4 linked regions of the Saccharomyces cerevisiae S288C genome follow. The gene in region 1 interacts genetically with each later gene. Each region holds a gene or a part of one and is shown on either strand. Other genes may lie near its edges.

Region 1 (4,688 bases):
TTTAGTTCTTGGACGTCTAATAAAGCTTGTATTTTTCTATCATTTTCGGCACGAGCATCATCGATTTTCTTTTGCGCTTGCGATTCCTGATTTTGTATACGTAGAGCATACTTAGAGGATTCTATTGTTGAGAAAAATTTGTCTAGCGTCCTATTGTAAGGACCTTCAACTTCAATGATACAAGAAGAGTCAGTGTCTCCCCCATTTATATATGGCTTAAAGGGATGGAATGTATCATAAATAAATTCCAAATCGGCAGTATCTTTTTCAGAGATATAATTTTCATTTCTTTTGGCCAAAATGTAACCCTTTCTATCGGTGGTAGTTAAAAGTTGATTATATTCTAACTGAGTACTGTTTAGCAATTCGGCGAGTGAGTCTGTTTCCTCCAAAAGATTTAAACAAGACTCTGAAGGGTCGATATTGAATACCTTAAGGTTCTTTGATAATAAATCTGAAGACAAATGAGGGACTTTCGAAAGCAGCAGTTTATGGATGGAAGGTACTTTCACTTTTTTTTTTTTAGCGCCCTCCTTCCCTTGAATGTTAAGTTGCTTAATAACAGTAATGTCTGATTCATACTTGGCTTGAACTGCTTTTATCCACTCGTTGACTAGTTCAGAGGTGTATTCTGCCTTTCTGTTTTTTTCTATGGATTCATCAGCAGACTCGTTATTTGTGGTAAAAAGTGATTCGTCAAACATTTCATAAATTTGTCCGACCTTATTTTCATGCTCTAGAACGACTCTTTGCAAAGCCATAATTCTTCTGTTCTCATCTAGAAGAATGACATTCCCTGCACTGAAAAATTCCAAAACTAAATAGAAGTGGCCATCAGCAAATTGTAGAACAAGAATTCTATCCTGGTCTACTTGCTTTAAAGCTGTTAACCGTTTAGCTTTAAGATGCTTCCTTAGTTTGACAACAAAGCCGGAAGGAGTTGGAGGTATTGGCCTACTAAATTCAGTTAAGTAAATTCTTAAGCCACAATCGACAACAACATTGAGTTTAGAATCTGGTTTATTAAATTTCAGCAAAAATTGTTTTGAGGAATCGGCAATGTTATATATATTACTCAATCGGTAGCCTTCCAAATCCTGTTTCAGCTCTCTAGCCAACAGCAGTAAATCTAGGGCACTAATTCTTTGCTTCATCGCTATTAATCTCTTGCCTGCCTGACTTCTTAGACCGGATAATAAGTAGCAACTTTCTTTTCAATTTGCCATCGGATTCTTTTAAAACTATTTTTCAGGCGAAATTTCATTTTTCTATCCTTCCGCAGCATGAATGAAAAGTTCAAACGCGTCCAAATATACAATAGATATAGTGCATTAGTTAATGTCCGGAAGAGAAGTCGCAATTGTTGAAAAGGTTAAAACTCAGGCTATTTATTGAAAATCCAATTTTAATCGTAACCACAGAGTTGAGGTAGAGGCTCATTTGTTACCTGACAGTTGATGACATTATCACTGACATATTTAAATTCATCATTAGTGTAATCAGCACATGCTAAGTTGAGGGCACTACTGCAACTTCAGTTTGTTTCCTTAAAACCCAAAAGAGTAGAAAACCAGGCTAAAAACAGTCACACTAGTCCAAAAAATGGACAAAAAGGAATATTCGGAGACTTTCTATCATCCTTATAAGCCCTATGATATTCAGGTACAGTTAATGGAAACTGTATACAGAGTGCTATCCGAAGGGAAGAAAATAGCTATCCTGGAAAGCCCCACTGGGACAGGCAAGACGCTGTCCTTAATCTGTGCCACGATGACTTGGTTGAGAATGAATAAAGCAGATATTTTCACCCGCATGGAAACTAACATCAAAACGAATGAAGATGATAGTGAAAACCTAAGCGATGACGAGCCAGACTGGGTTATTGACACTTATCGAAAGTCTGTTTTACAAGAAAAGGTGGATTTGCTAAATGATTATGAGAAGCATTTAAACGAAATTAACACGACCAGTTGTAAGCAGTTGAAAACTATGTGTGATTTAGATAAAGAACATGGAAGATATAAATCAGTTGATCCATTAAGAAAGAAACGCAAAGGCGCTAGGCACCTTGATGTATCACTTGAAGAACAAGATTTTATTCCGCGCCCGTACGAATCAGATTCTGAAAACAATGATACCTCCAAAAGCACAAGAGGAGGAAGAATATCTGATAAAGATTACAAATTGAGTGAACTAAATTCACAAATAATAACACTTTTAGACAAAATTGATGGGAAGGTTTCGAGAGATCCAAACAATGGCGATCGCTTTGACGTTACAAATCAAAATCCAGTGAAAATATATTATGCATCCAGAACTTATTCACAATTAGGTCAATTTACTTCTCAGTTAAGATTACCCTCGTTCCCATCATCCTTTAGGGATAAGGTCCCAGATGAAAAGGTGAAGTACTTACCACTTGCTTCGAAAAAGCAGCTTTGTATTAATCCAAAAGTGATGAAGTGGAAAACATTGGAAGCTATTAATGACGCATGTGCGGACCTTAGACATAGTAAAGAGGGATGTATCTTTTATCAAAATACAAACGAATGGCGTCATTGTCCTGATACGTTAGCTCTCAGAGATATGATTTTTTCAGAAATTCAAGATATTGAAGATTTAGTTCCCCTGGGAAAATCTTTGGGAATTTGTCCCTATTACGCCTCGAGGGAGGCACTTCCTATTGCGGAGGTAGTGACTTTGCCATATCAATACTTACTTTCTGAGTCCACCCGTTCAAGTCTTCAAATAAACCTTGAAAATTCTATAGTAATTATTGATGAGGCTCATAATTTGATAGAAACAATAAATTCTATATATTCCTCTCAGATCTCGTTGGAGGACTTAAAGAATTGCCATAAGGGGATAGTAACTTATTTCAACAAATTTAAGTCCAGGCTCAATCCCGGTAACAGAGTAAATCTATTAAAGCTCAATTCACTTTTGATGACTCTGATTCAATTTATAGTTAAAAATTTCAAGAAGATAGGACAAGAAATAGATCCTAACGATATGTTCACAGGAAGTAACATCGATACCCTAAACATTCATAAACTATTGAGATATATAAAAGTCTCCAAAATTGCTTACAAAATTGACACGTATAACCAGGCACTAAAAGAGGAAGAATCGTCAAAAAATGAAAATCCAATAAAAGAAACGCATAAAAAATCAGTTTCTTCTCAGCCATTACTTTTCAAGGTTTCTCAATTCCTATATTGTTTGACAAATTTGACGTCAGAAGGACAATTTTTTTTTGAGAAAAATTATTCAATAAAGTACATGCTTCTAGAACCAAGTAAACCTTTTGAGTCAATACTAAATCAAGCAAAATGTGTAGTCCTTGCAGGTGGGACAATGGAACCCATGTCAGAGTTTTTGTCGAATTTGCTACCTGAAGTTCCTTCTGAAGACATTACGACCTTGTCGTGCAATCATGTTATACCGAAAGAGAATTTGCAAACTTATATCACAAACCAGCCTGAGCTTGAGTTCACATTCGAAAAAAGAATGTCTCCCTCCCTTGTAAATAATCATCTTTTTCAATTTTTTGTTGATCTGAGCAAAGCAGTTCCTAAAAAGGGTGGTATTGTAGCTTTTTTTCCAAGCTATCAGTATTTGGCGCATGTAATTCAGTGCTGGAAACAGAATGACAGGTTTGCTACATTAAATAACGTGAGGAAAATATTCTATGAAGCAAAAGACGGCGATGATATTCTATCTGGATATTCTGATTCGGTAGCAGAGGGAAGGGGGTCTCTTTTGCTGGCTATTGTTGGGGGAAAATTATCAGAGGGAATAAATTTTCAAGATGATTTATGTAGGGCTGTGGTGATGGTGGGCCTGCCGTTCCCAAATATTTTTAGTGGAGAACTAATAGTTAAAAGGAAGCATTTGGCCGCTAAAATAATGAAGTCAGGCGGAACGGAAGAGGAAGCTTCACGAGCAACAAAGGAGTTTATGGAGAATATTTGTATGAAAGCTGTCAACCAAAGTGTTGGACGTGCTATACGGCATGCAAATGATTACGCAAACATTTACTTGCTCGATGTGCGATATAATAGGCCCAATTTCCGGAAAAAATTGTCACGTTGGGTGCAAGATTCTATCAATTCCGAACATACAACACATCAGGTCATTTCTTCAACACGGAAGTTTTTTTCAATGCGCAGCCTGAATTCACGCTAAAAGGAATACGTTTACGTGTATACTGTGATTACTACTATATATTATAGTAAACTAAACTGATATTTATGACTACTTTTTATATCTGCAAGTAATTCTTTGTCTCTTGTATCCTTACATAACTTCCAGCGTTGTTCCACAATATACGCTTATTTCATTAAATCTTTCTAATAGACCCCTTGTAAACCAACCATAATCATTCAAATCATCTCGTTTTATGTCTATTACCCGTTGTTTGCTCACGGGACATATCTTTACATGCGTTGTAAGTATTGGAAGCAAAGTGACACCACACCTCTTCCACGTGTTATTCGTGGTGGATGTTACAGTTTCAGGGTCAGCCGTGAAGCTTTCTAAATTGAACGTTTCCTCGAGAAAGCTGTTCTTCATCAATAACGTGCCGTTGTAAATTGGCGCTTCTCTTTTAAGTATTGCCGCTATAGATAATACGCAAGCTAAATCAAAACTATTCGTTAATTCGGATTTTTTGTTTATAGCGTATT
Region 2 (3,277 bases), on another chromosome or scaffold:
CCGACATTGTTGTTATTGATATTGCTGTTATTGTTGTGATCGTTATTAGTATTATTATCTTGGCCATCATTGTTGTTAGTGGCATCATCGTCTTTTCCATCGTGCTTATTGTTTGATTGAGAATCTACATTTGCGACGGCATTGGCAATGGCAACGTTGATGTCTTCATCGTTCACTACGTCAGAATAGTTTTTCGTCATTTGGGTATGGACGTCATCCTCCTCGTTGTGACGGTGGTTACCGCTGTCATTACCATGAGTAGGACCGCTCTCGTCGTCCAATCCCCGGTCAATAGAGGCCTTATTTATCGAATCATCTTCAGTGTCGTTCTTGATAGTAACACCTTGCTGTTTAAAAATGTTGTTGGCATCAGCATCATCGTCATTGTTCCCATTCACCTCATTGCTTCTCGACTCCACTTTGTCATTGGTGTCGTCCGGATGAGTGTTCGCCAGATGGTATTCAAGATCATCAGTAACGAAGTCAAGTTTACTGTCATTGCTAACCTTATTATTACTGCCATTGTTATTATCATTGTCCTCGTTGTTCATGTTGTTGCTATGATGATGAATATGATCAGGAGTACCCGGAGGGTTGGTATTATTATTTGCAGAAGGAGATGAGGTTTCTGAGGATGCAGCATTGCCAGCATAGCTTAGCAAGACTTTAAATGGACAGTTTTTCAAATGACAGGCAAATGTAAAATGTTTGTTCCTATGCGAATTCTTTAAAATAATAGGGCAACGCGTCTGAAATTCGTACTCATTAATTACATCATACCAAGCACCCAAGGTGGGAAATTTTTTGCCTCCATGGGCTCCAATGGCCAGGTCTTTATTAATTATAGGGTGCTTGTATTCATAATAATTCACGACTAATTTGTCCATCCTTGTGAAATTGCAAATATGGTGATTTGAAACGTTTCCTAGTGCAGCAGGATCACAGATAACGTGTAAAGGGCTTAGCAGTTGATAATCCTCTCTAGTTGAGATCTAAACAAAATGCTGTCACTAACCGTAGTATTAAATGACACACTTTGGTGACTTTCGTTAATGGGGATGTGGTAGTGGCCATTGCCAATAAACAAAAAGAACAGGGAAAGAAGTAGAAAGTGATATAAGTTTGCTTGCCACTTTTCGTTTTTCACGAAAAAAACAGGCGAAAAAAAATGCTAGACTAGTACCCGGCTGAATCACACCTCGTTAACAGTGACTTTCGGTGACAGATACCCGATTGGGCACCCGGCTGGTAAGTTATGATAGAAAGCCAACGCTGTACTATTGGCTTAGCTATGGCAATATTTTGATTATCAACTAGTTTTATTAACGTTATAATTAGTGTAACCAGTTTTTCATCTATTTCATTTATTTCATTTATTTACTTTAATTGCAGATCCCCCTAACGCGTTTAAAGCTTTTATTCACTAGCTTATGTATTTTTTATAGGAAACGCGACGCGTAACATCGCGCAAATGAAGGTTTTGATGTATTATAATGAGGTATTCTTCCTTATATACATCGATGAAAAGCGTTGACAGCATACATTGGAAAGAAATAGGAAACGGACACCGGAAGAAAAAATATGGGTATTAAAGGTTTGAATGCAATTATATCGGAACATGTTCCCTCTGCTATCAGGAAAAGCGATATCAAGAGCTTTTTTGGCAGAAAGGTTGCCATCGATGCCTCTATGTCTCTATATCAGTTTTTAATTGCTGTAAGACAGCAAGACGGTGGGCAGTTGACCAATGAAGCCGGTGAAACAACGTCACACTTGATGGGTATGTTTTATAGGACACTGAGAATGATTGATAACGGTATCAAGCCTTGTTATGTCTTCGACGGCAAACCTCCAGATTTGAAATCTCATGAGTTGACAAAGCGGTCTTCAAGAAGGGTGGAAACAGAAAAAAAACTGGCAGAGGCAACAACAGAATTGGAAAAGATGAAGCAAGAAAGAAGATTGGTGAAGGTCTCAAAAGAGCATAATGAAGAAGCCCAAAAATTACTAGGACTAATGGGAATCCCATATATAATAGCGCCAACGGAAGCTGAGGCTCAATGTGCTGAGTTGGCAAAGAAGGGAAAGGTGTATGCCGCAGCAAGTGAAGATATGGACACACTCTGTTATAGAACACCCTTCTTGTTGAGACATTTGACTTTTTCAGAGGCCAAGAAGGAACCGATTCACGAAATAGATACTGAATTAGTTTTGAGAGGACTCGACTTGACAATAGAGCAGTTTGTTGATCTTTGCATAATGCTTGGTTGTGACTACTGTGAAAGCATCAGAGGTGTTGGTCCAGTGACAGCCTTAAAATTGATAAAAACGCATGGATCCATCGAAAAAATCGTGGAGTTTATTGAATCTGGGGAGTCAAACAACACTAAATGGAAAATCCCAGAAGACTGGCCTTACAAACAAGCAAGAATGCTGTTTCTTGACCCTGAAGTTATAGATGGTAACGAAATAAACTTGAAATGGTCGCCACCAAAGGAGAAGGAACTTATCGAGTATTTATGTGATGATAAGAAATTCAGTGAAGAAAGAGTTAAATCTGGTATATCAAGATTGAAAAAAGGCTTGAAATCTGGCATTCAGGGTAGGTTAGATGGGTTCTTCCAAGTGGTGCCTAAGACAAAGGAACAGCTGGCTGCTGCGGCGAAAAGAGCACAAGAAAATAAAAAATTGAACAAAAATAAGAATAAAGTCACAAAGGGAAGAAGATGAGGGGGTTCTTTTTCCACTTTCTTCTTTTGGTCCTTCACCTTGGCATATATGTAACATAGATATTTGTATACACGAACTTTTTTCATCTAATACTTCTCTTTTTTTGCCAGTTTTTCTGGGAACTTGAACGTGGAATTTTTCATTCTTACCTGGTTTCTTTTTCTTCATTTCTTTACATGTTGGAAATCATTGTAAATATAAGATGACAAACTCCGAATAAGAAACACAAAACGCAACATTAATAAGCTTTTGGCATATCGGAACCATCGTAATGCCTTCGACACCTAGCTTTGTTAGATCTGCTGTCTCGAAATACAAATTTGGTGCGCACATGTCAGGTGCCGGTGGAATTTCTAATAGTGTAACTAATGCATTTAACACTGGCTGTAATTCGTTTGCCATGTTTTTAAAATCTCCAAGAAAGTGGGTTTCTCCGCAGTATACACAGGAGGAAATAGATAAATTTAAGAAAAACTGTGCAACTTACAATTATAACCCATTGACGGACGTCTTACCGCATGGCCAATACTTTATTAATTTGGCTAAT
Region 3 (4,492 bases), on another chromosome or scaffold:
ATTAGTTGCGACGTAAGTTCGAATACAGTGTCTTACGAGATGACTTGTAATTGGAAGCAGTGGCCGCTTTATTGTAGGGACCCGTAAACGTGTGATTAGCATGAATTTTATAAACCTCCCACCACCTGATAATCTGTATGTGCCTTTTGTTTTAATACTTCTTGACGCAAATCTACTGTCAACTTTAATATGCATCCCTCCATAGTAAGTCAAGGATCAGCTAGAACCAATAACGAGAAGTAAAAAAAAGTGACAAAAAGTCAAATGTGTCTTTATACGAATTTTTTAACCTACATATGAAGAGTAAGGTCATAAATAATAAATGTAGGGCTAAATGCAGTTAAGATTACTACAGTATTAGGTCTGTTTTTTATCACCTCTTACGGAAAGTGCGAGCGGGAAAAAATTTTTCTTCTTTCCTTATTATCATACCGATGCTCATCACAATGAAAGATACATATTGCATCAATAATAGGCAGTTTTCAATATTCTTCTGTTTAGTTAAGAAAAAGACTTGAAGTGAAAATAAACTACATTATGGTTGCGCCTACTGCTTTGAAAAAGGCTACTGTGACACCTGTAAGTGGACAAGATGGGGGCAGTAGTAGAATTATAGGAATAAATAATACCGAAAGCATCGATGAGGACGATGATGACGACGTTCTGTTAGATGATTCCGACAATAACACAGCAAAAGAAGAGGTAGAGGGCGAAGAAGGTAGCCGGAAAACGCACGAATCTAAGACCGTAGTGGTTGATGACCAGGGGAAACCTCGCTTCACTTCAGCTAGCAAAACACAGGGTAACAAAATAAAATTTGAATCGAGAAAGATCATGGTTCCACCACACAGAATGACACCCTTGAGGAACAGTTGGACAAAAATTTATCCTCCTTTGGTCGAGCACTTGAAGCTGCAAGTCAGAATGAATTTAAAGACCAAATCCGTAGAACTAAGAACGAATCCTAAATTTACCACAGACCCTGGTGCGTTGCAAAAAGGGGCCGATTTTATCAAAGCCTTTACCTTAGGGTTTGATCTTGACGATTCTATCGCACTATTGAGGCTAGATGATTTATATATTGAGACTTTTGAAGTCAAAGATGTCAAGACTCTAACAGGTGACCATTTGTCGAGAGCCATCGGTCGTATTGCCGGTAAAGACGGTAAAACGAAATTTGCGATTGAAAACGCTACAAGAACAAGAATTGTCTTAGCTGACTCTAAAATCCACATTTTGGGCGGGTTCACCCACATCAGAATGGCAAGAGAATCTGTGGTTAGTTTAATTTTGGGTTCCCCTCCAGGTAAAGTTTATGGGAACTTACGTACCGTTGCATCTAGATTAAAAGAACGCTACTAAACATAATTTGTGGGCTTTCATCATCTGTATAATATTTATATGTCGTTTTATGGCGAAATAGAGTGAATAAATAGGTTTTTTTTTCCTTCTTTTTTTTAGGACGCCAAACGCGTAACGTTAGCGGTGATAAATTAGTTTAGTATTATTATCCGGCTATTTGCTTCATGTATTTAACGTCTTCACTGACCACCTTCGCTGCACTAAATCGTATGGTACCATAGCATTAAACTTTTTGAATCAGAGAAGGTTTTCCAATGAAAAGGCACGTGTCTTTATCTGATATATTGACAGGAAATAAGAGAAAAGTGAGAAGACAAGATGCTCTACAGATTACCATCGATGACGAAAATGATACTGAATCAGGCACTTTTGACGCCAGAACAGCCAAACATGACGATTCTTCAGTAATATTTTTAAACCACTCTGTTGTGAAGCCAATTGAAGCTGTTTCTACTAATCACAAATCTGCAAAGGAGTTTTTGATGACGAAACGCACAAAAGAAAAATGCGATGACGACGATGATGATCTTATTGTAATCAGTGATAAGAGTCCCAAAAGTGAGACTAATTGTAGCAAAATTGCACTTTCGCAGGAGCATGAAGATGATATTTCTATAATTTCCACATCGAGAATCAAATCATCGCTTCTTAATGAAAGAGCATCAAAGATTAAAAACTTCCTTAAACATGAGACAACCGACACGTTCAAAAGATTAAATAGCATCTCTAAACTAAATGAAATAGAGCCACCATTACCATTACATCAATCGATTTTCCCAGTAGGTGACAAAGAGCTGTCAGATCGGAGTGTTGATATCCCGCTTCCTTTCCGCACAATACCGCCATTAAATCATAATTTTCTTCCTAGTGACTATGAATCGTTGAAAGACAAGAATTCAGCATCTTGTATTCCTGTTCGCTATCAAGCACCGGTATTACTTGGCACAAATATTAAAAGAAATACAACTCTCACATGGCCGCAGCTATTCAAGCCTGTCACTTTAAAACAAGTATTAATTGAACCCAAATTGAAACTTCGAATCAAAAATTGGATTGAAACATCCTTTCATACGCTAGAAAAGCCTACCTTGAGGAACCGTCTATTGAACAGAATAAATCCCAATAAACAACAGGGATCTGGTGATGAGCTTGCCAACTTCATTGTACCTGATCTCGAAGAAGACGAAAACTTGCGTCCAGATTTCTACAGAAATGGCGAAGCAAATAGCAGCTTGAGCGAATTTGTTCCACTAATGATATTACACGGAAATTCAATAGGCAAGAAAACGCTGATACAGACAATCATGAGAGAGATTGCTGGCGACGATAATTCTTACCAGATATATGAAGTTAATTCAAACATGAACAGGAGCAAAAAAGATTTGCTTGATATCCTACTAGATTTTACCACCACACACTATGTCAAAGATTCCTCAAAAAGGAAAAGTGACTACGGGCTTGTTTTATTTAATGATGTTGATGTTTTATTTAAAGAACATGATAGGGGATATTGGGCAATGATCAGCAAGCTTTGTGAATTTTCACGAAGGCCCCTCGTATTGACTTGTAAGGATTTGTCACTAGTTCCTAGTGAACTTATTGCCTTGGCAAGTGAACAAAACTCTTTGTTTCATACTAAGAAAATTAGTACATCCACAGTCTATGCGTTTCTAACAAAATATTTAAAGTCCCTTGAAATCGAAGTTTGTGACGACTGGCTTCGCGATGTTGTAAAACAAAATAATGCGGATATTAGGAAGTGCTTGATGCACTTGCAGTTTTGGTGCGTTGATACTGAGGCTGATTTGATTTCATCCAAGAACAGACTACCGGTCCTAACATCAACTCTTGGTTCAAGCGTTAAAGATATATCGCAATTAACTGATCTACTCTCCATAAATGATGTTATTGGTCAAGCAACGCTCAATCGTTCCATGGTTAGACAAGAAATAGATTCTACCACAATGACCCCAGAAAAAGTTAATACTTTCCAGGATCAAAATCTGGATGATGAAATGAAACTAAAATTTGATTACGTGATAGATTATAAATTGCATTTAAATGACCCCAATAGACAACCGTTATTACCGTTTGAATTGAATATTTACCAACACATCCAAGAACAATTGGAAGCTCGGTATTCCTATGTTAGAGAAGCAAACCATAGGCTTGATAACGAATACCTTGTTAACAGGTTCAAAAAAATGACAGAATCTACATTAAATTTTTTGGCGTCAAGAATACCGAAGTATGACCATCTTCAGTCGGCAAGAAGGACGAGAAATTCGAAGAAAATTTCTGATATTTTGAACCAATTCAAAGGAATTTATAATGATGAAACTCTGAACGAAAATGCCGAGATTGATCTGCTGAGCGCCACAACTCAACAAATTAAAGCGGAGATCAATCCCTTCGTTTTTGAAATCGCTAAAAGTGACGCCAATGTCAAGAATGAAAACAAACAAATATTTGAGTTGCATAGTGAAAATGTATCAGAAAGACGATACAAAGATTTGGTCTATCAGTTGTCACAAGAGGGTGTCTTGAAAAACGTATGGTTCAACGCTGATCCGAGCATAGTCGTGAGAAAATGGGAGCATTTGCACTCAGGCTTTTCAAAGAACAAATAACACTGATATGAAATTGCGTGCATCGTTACAGGAACACGTATGTATAATAAATATAGCATGGTAGTGCGGGGAAATATACTACTACTTTATATATCAATAAATTCTGCAACCTTGCATTAAGCAAATGCAGCACAATCCTAAATTCCTTCTAATAGTTGCCTTTATTTCCTCATAGTGCATATTTCAAAACAGCGAAAAATGCAAAATATGCGAAAACTTGAAAAAAAATGGCTGATGGGAATTACAAATAAAGCGTGAATGATAAGGCGTTTATAAAAGATTTAGCTTCTTAAGTACTGTGGTTTTGATAAAAGCTAGAAATTTGTAGATCACAATTGGTCACAAAGAACAATAAAAAGCTGAATATCACTGCTATGAGCGAGGAGTGTATTGAAAATCCTGAACGTATTAAAATTGGTACTGATTTAATCAACATCCGAAATAAAATGAACTTAAAAGAACTAATCCATCCAAACGAGGATGAAAACTCTACCCTACTC
Region 4 (3,611 bases), on another chromosome or scaffold:
CGTCACCTTGAATACTCATCAAGAAACGATAAGTTGTTGTAATTTAACAGTAACTCTGCATATAATTCAACAGGTAAAAACTAACTTTTATATCCTTGAACTTCTTCATTTTTGTGTCTTTCATTGAAAGTATAATTTTCCTTTTTTTTTTTTGGTTTTCAATACATATAATGATGGGTGACATTTTTTGTGTCATTTAGATTAAAAGAAATTTTAAGAAAAATTGACGTATTTAATTTTGATCCGCAGTAAACGCTATAAATTCTTTTTAATATAAATGACAGCTTTTTATACATATAGACCCTTTGAAGAATATTCCAAACTAGAAAGGTTGATCAGAAATGAGTTATAGTGTCAACACGTTTACAGATTACGTTTTATTGTTTGGATCATCTAGTTTAGTAGGAAAAGGTATTTTAGAGAACCTGTTGGACATAAATTTATATATTAAAAATGTTTCGGACCTACAAGGCAAGCTTGATAGCTTAAGTGAAATAAAGGGAAATGTCGTTCTCAATAAACATGTCTTTTGTGTTAATAGAAGGTGCATCAATGAGGAGAAATCATTTATGAAGACCATTGATTATATAAATATGAGATCAGTTACTTGGCAAGGTGGCAGATATTACTTGAGAAGCAGGAAAGAAAAAGACACTGAAAAAGTACCGTCTAGTCCTAATACTTTTTGTTATGATAATTTTGAAGAAGGATTTATTAAAAATACGCCTGAAGAGAGGGGAAAAGATGGTTATTCTTTTGTTTATAATCAGAAACAGTTCAGTTACACACTACATTATGCATGCGGAAAGGAAAAAGGTATTGAGATCATTTGTAATTTTACTGTAACGCAATTGATCATCCCCAGATCTGAAACTTGGCCAAAATTGCTTCCACGGATATTCTCAGGAACACAAAAGCTGGAAAAGTTTGACATTGACAACAAAAATTACGTTCCCGGTAGAAGTTTGCCTAGTCTGTGTGATATTAGCACTATGGTGTGCTCTTTGGGCTCCACCTCAGCTAGAGTGCGGAGAACTCAGGTACCAAGTTCCTTTGCTGACTATTACTTACCTTTTAATTTAGCACAAGAATTCACGAATACAACTAACAAAAGGTTGGTGGTTACAACTGCCTTTAATAATGATTTTCTTAGTAAAACTTTCGAGTATTTTAGAATAAAAGCTAAATTAGAAAATGACTTGGATGAAGCTTTGCCAAATAAGCTAAAGGAGCTAGTTATTTTGAGGCCAGGTCCGATGTGTGGACAGCACGGAAATCCTATAAACGTTGAATTGGGTAAAGAAAACTCCACTTTCTTGGAAAAAATTTTTTATTATCCTCACTATCTTTTAGTTTATAAAAAGAAATATATCAGTGAGGCCAGAAGGATTGGCTTAAGAACAAAGTTAAGCGAAATAATTGCTTCCAGTATATATAGGATGCCAGGATCTGCATTATTAGGATACGCTGTCCCAGTTTCAAAGGTTTCTTATGTTGCCTCTTTGATGGCGATTGAAAGGAAAAGTAAAGAGGCGGGACCTAAGCTGGAAGTAATTAGCAGTTATCAAATTGATATGATTGTGTGAACAGTCAGTCTTTTCTTTTGATAGATGCGAAGTTATTAAATAAATAGTAGCCTAATACATAAAAGAACCACTATATCATGGATTCGATACCTGGGCCGTCTTAAATTTTTATCGCATTGAATATGCAAACTTTATGTATTGTTTTACTAATCGCCAGTAATGGCCGACCAATTCTATGATAGATCTTCCCTAAGTTTATAATGATGGTAAGAAAACGCGCATATTTCAAAACTGAAGAAAAAACAAACAAAAGCCATATGGATAATGAGGGGAAAATGTGATTTCTTTACTTGAGCAATTCTTTCAAACTATCAGTAACGCTCCTGGCAATGAGTAGAATCGATGATTTACAGCAGGACATTGAATCTTTACTCAGTGAAAGTATGTGATTTTGAGGCTGTAACAATTTTCTTTCTTTTAAAAAAATGATTAAGTTGAACACTAACATAGTAGAATCTTCACAGTCAATTCATTAGAAGAAAGTCGTGAGAAGCTCAAAGCGAAGATAAAAGATAAAAGAAAAAATGAGGAGAGCGCTAATCCTATAGTACAAGAATTTGAAGATCTATTCGATCAATTCCCACAGTTGAATAATTTTTTATTTAATGAGCATCCAGAATTGGAAGAGACAGATGACAAGGACATATCAAGGGCGCAAGCGGATATACCAGCAACGCCAATACCGTATGAACCAAAGAAAAGAGCTAAGCTGGAGAATGAGGAAATTTTACCAGAACAAGAATGGGTTTTAAAGACCCAGCCAATGGTTCAGCATCAAATGTTTGATCCTGGGGTGGCAGATTTATTGGATACAGACATTCTAACGTCACCTTCAAAAAGAAAGCGAAAACTAAAAATAGACGATATTAGTACAAGTGATAGAAGTGAGTTGGAAGATTATATTGTCCTGGAAAATGTTTATAGAATGTTTGGTATAACATTTTTCCCTCTTGTGGACCCTATTGACCTTAAGATAAAAGATGCTAGCGGTGAAATATTTGTTGATAGAGAAATGCTGGGAATACGACTGGAAGTCTTCAGCGAACGGACATCCCAATTTGAAAAACCTCACTATGTATTGTTGAAAAAGAGGATCAAATCGAATAGTTGGTTCCTGTTCAAGCATACAATCCCGAGTTTCATTGATGTCCAAGGTATATTTGATGACACCAATGGGGGACTAGTGATATCTCATGATGACGCCTATTTATTTGCTAAAAGAGTCTTCCTGCAACTTGTGGAAGTACAGAAAAGACGACAGATTTTTAAGGACTTAGAAGCTAAGAAGATAATCCACGACTTAGATTTAGATTTAGAATCTTCAATGGTTTCGTTTTTTGTGAAGGATATTAAAGTCGAGTTGTTTGTAAAACAAAATGAAATAGTTTCATGTTCAATATTGGACGATATTCATGATTTTAGTCAAAATAATAAAAGTAAATGGGAAATTGCATTGCTCGGTTCTTTGGATGATTTGGAATTAAAATTAAACCATTCTTTCGCGACAATATTCAAGTGAATGTTAACAAAAATATACTTTATAGAAAGAGGATAGAGCTAATTTTCTCTGTTTATCATAGATATAAGTAATTGTGTAGTATCCCAATTTTGGGTAGAATGTGGTATATGAAAACAGGGCATATGAAACCCATAAGGCAACCTAACACTTTTTCCAAGATAGTATGATAATAAATAGCGGTAACCCAGAGAATACATATCCAAATTACTAGGACAGCGCAAACAATGGCAAGGCAAGCTCGTACCCACTTATTCACAACCCAAAACATATCTTCAGCTTGAACAAATCTACTGAATAAGTGAAGTTCCATCCAAAGAATCATGCTTATACTCACAAGAAAGCAGAAGTGTCCACTAATGTCAAACCCACCATCCCATTTCCCATTTTCTAGACGGCACTTTTCAGCTGATGTCGTTTTACTACCAGAACTGCATTCTCCCCCTGTCCAAATGAAAACATGATCGATAAATTGGAAATTCAAAAACAATAATAGATATTTTAGAACG

The links.
Region 2: mutations in CHL1 (region 1) and RAD27 impair growth when combined (synthetic growth defect), as found in Saccharomyces cerevisiae (8 studies listed by BioGRID, with this or other methods).
Region 3: mutations in CHL1 (region 1) and ELG1 together harm fitness more than expected from each alone (negative genetic interaction), as found in Saccharomyces cerevisiae (10 studies listed by BioGRID, with this or other methods).
Region 4: mutations in CHL1 (region 1) and MCM21 together harm fitness more than expected from each alone (negative genetic interaction), as found in Saccharomyces cerevisiae (6 studies listed by BioGRID, with this or other methods).

What each region holds. Positions count from the first base shown.
Region 1 is NC_001148.4:537,783-542,470, forward strand, and holds CHL1 (DNA helicase), read left to right. Parts: upstream 1-1,602; coding exon 1,603-4,188; downstream 4,189-4,688. Other genes in the region: RQC2 (Rqc2p), read right to left, coding at 1-1,154; transcription factor TFIIIC subunit TFC8, read right to left, coding at 4,300-4,688.
Region 2 is NC_001143.9:224,180-227,456, reverse strand, and holds RAD27 (multifunctional nuclease RAD27), read left to right. Parts: upstream 1-1,581; coding exon 1,582-2,730; downstream 2,731-3,277. Other genes in the region: DNA-binding protein ABF1, read right to left, coding at 1-887; DNA-(apurinic or apyrimidinic site) lyase APN1, read left to right, coding at 3,002-3,277. UniProt on the Saccharomyces cerevisiae protein: Structure-specific nuclease with 5'-flap endonuclease and 5'-3' exonuclease activities involved in DNA replication and repair.
Region 3 is NC_001147.6:602,217-606,708, reverse strand, and holds ELG1 (Elg1p), read left to right. Parts: upstream 1-1,616; coding exon 1,617-3,992; downstream 3,993-4,492. Other genes in the region: MDM32 (Mdm32p), read right to left, coding at 1-102; PNO1 (Pno1p), read left to right, coding at 538-1,362; THI80 (thiamine diphosphokinase), read left to right, coding at 4,367-4,492.
Region 4 is NC_001136.10:1,101,843-1,105,453, forward strand, and holds MCM21 (Mcm21p), read left to right. Parts: upstream 1-1,915; coding exon 1,916-1,967; intron 1,968-2,050; coding exon 2,051-3,105; downstream 3,106-3,611. Other genes in the region: HIM1 (Him1p), read left to right, coding at 342-1,586; YFT2 (Yft2p), read right to left, coding at 3,161-3,611. UniProt on the Saccharomyces cerevisiae protein: Component of the kinetochore, a multiprotein complex that assembles on centromeric DNA and attaches chromosomes to spindle microtubules, mediating chromosome segregation and sister chromatid segregation during meiosis and mitosis.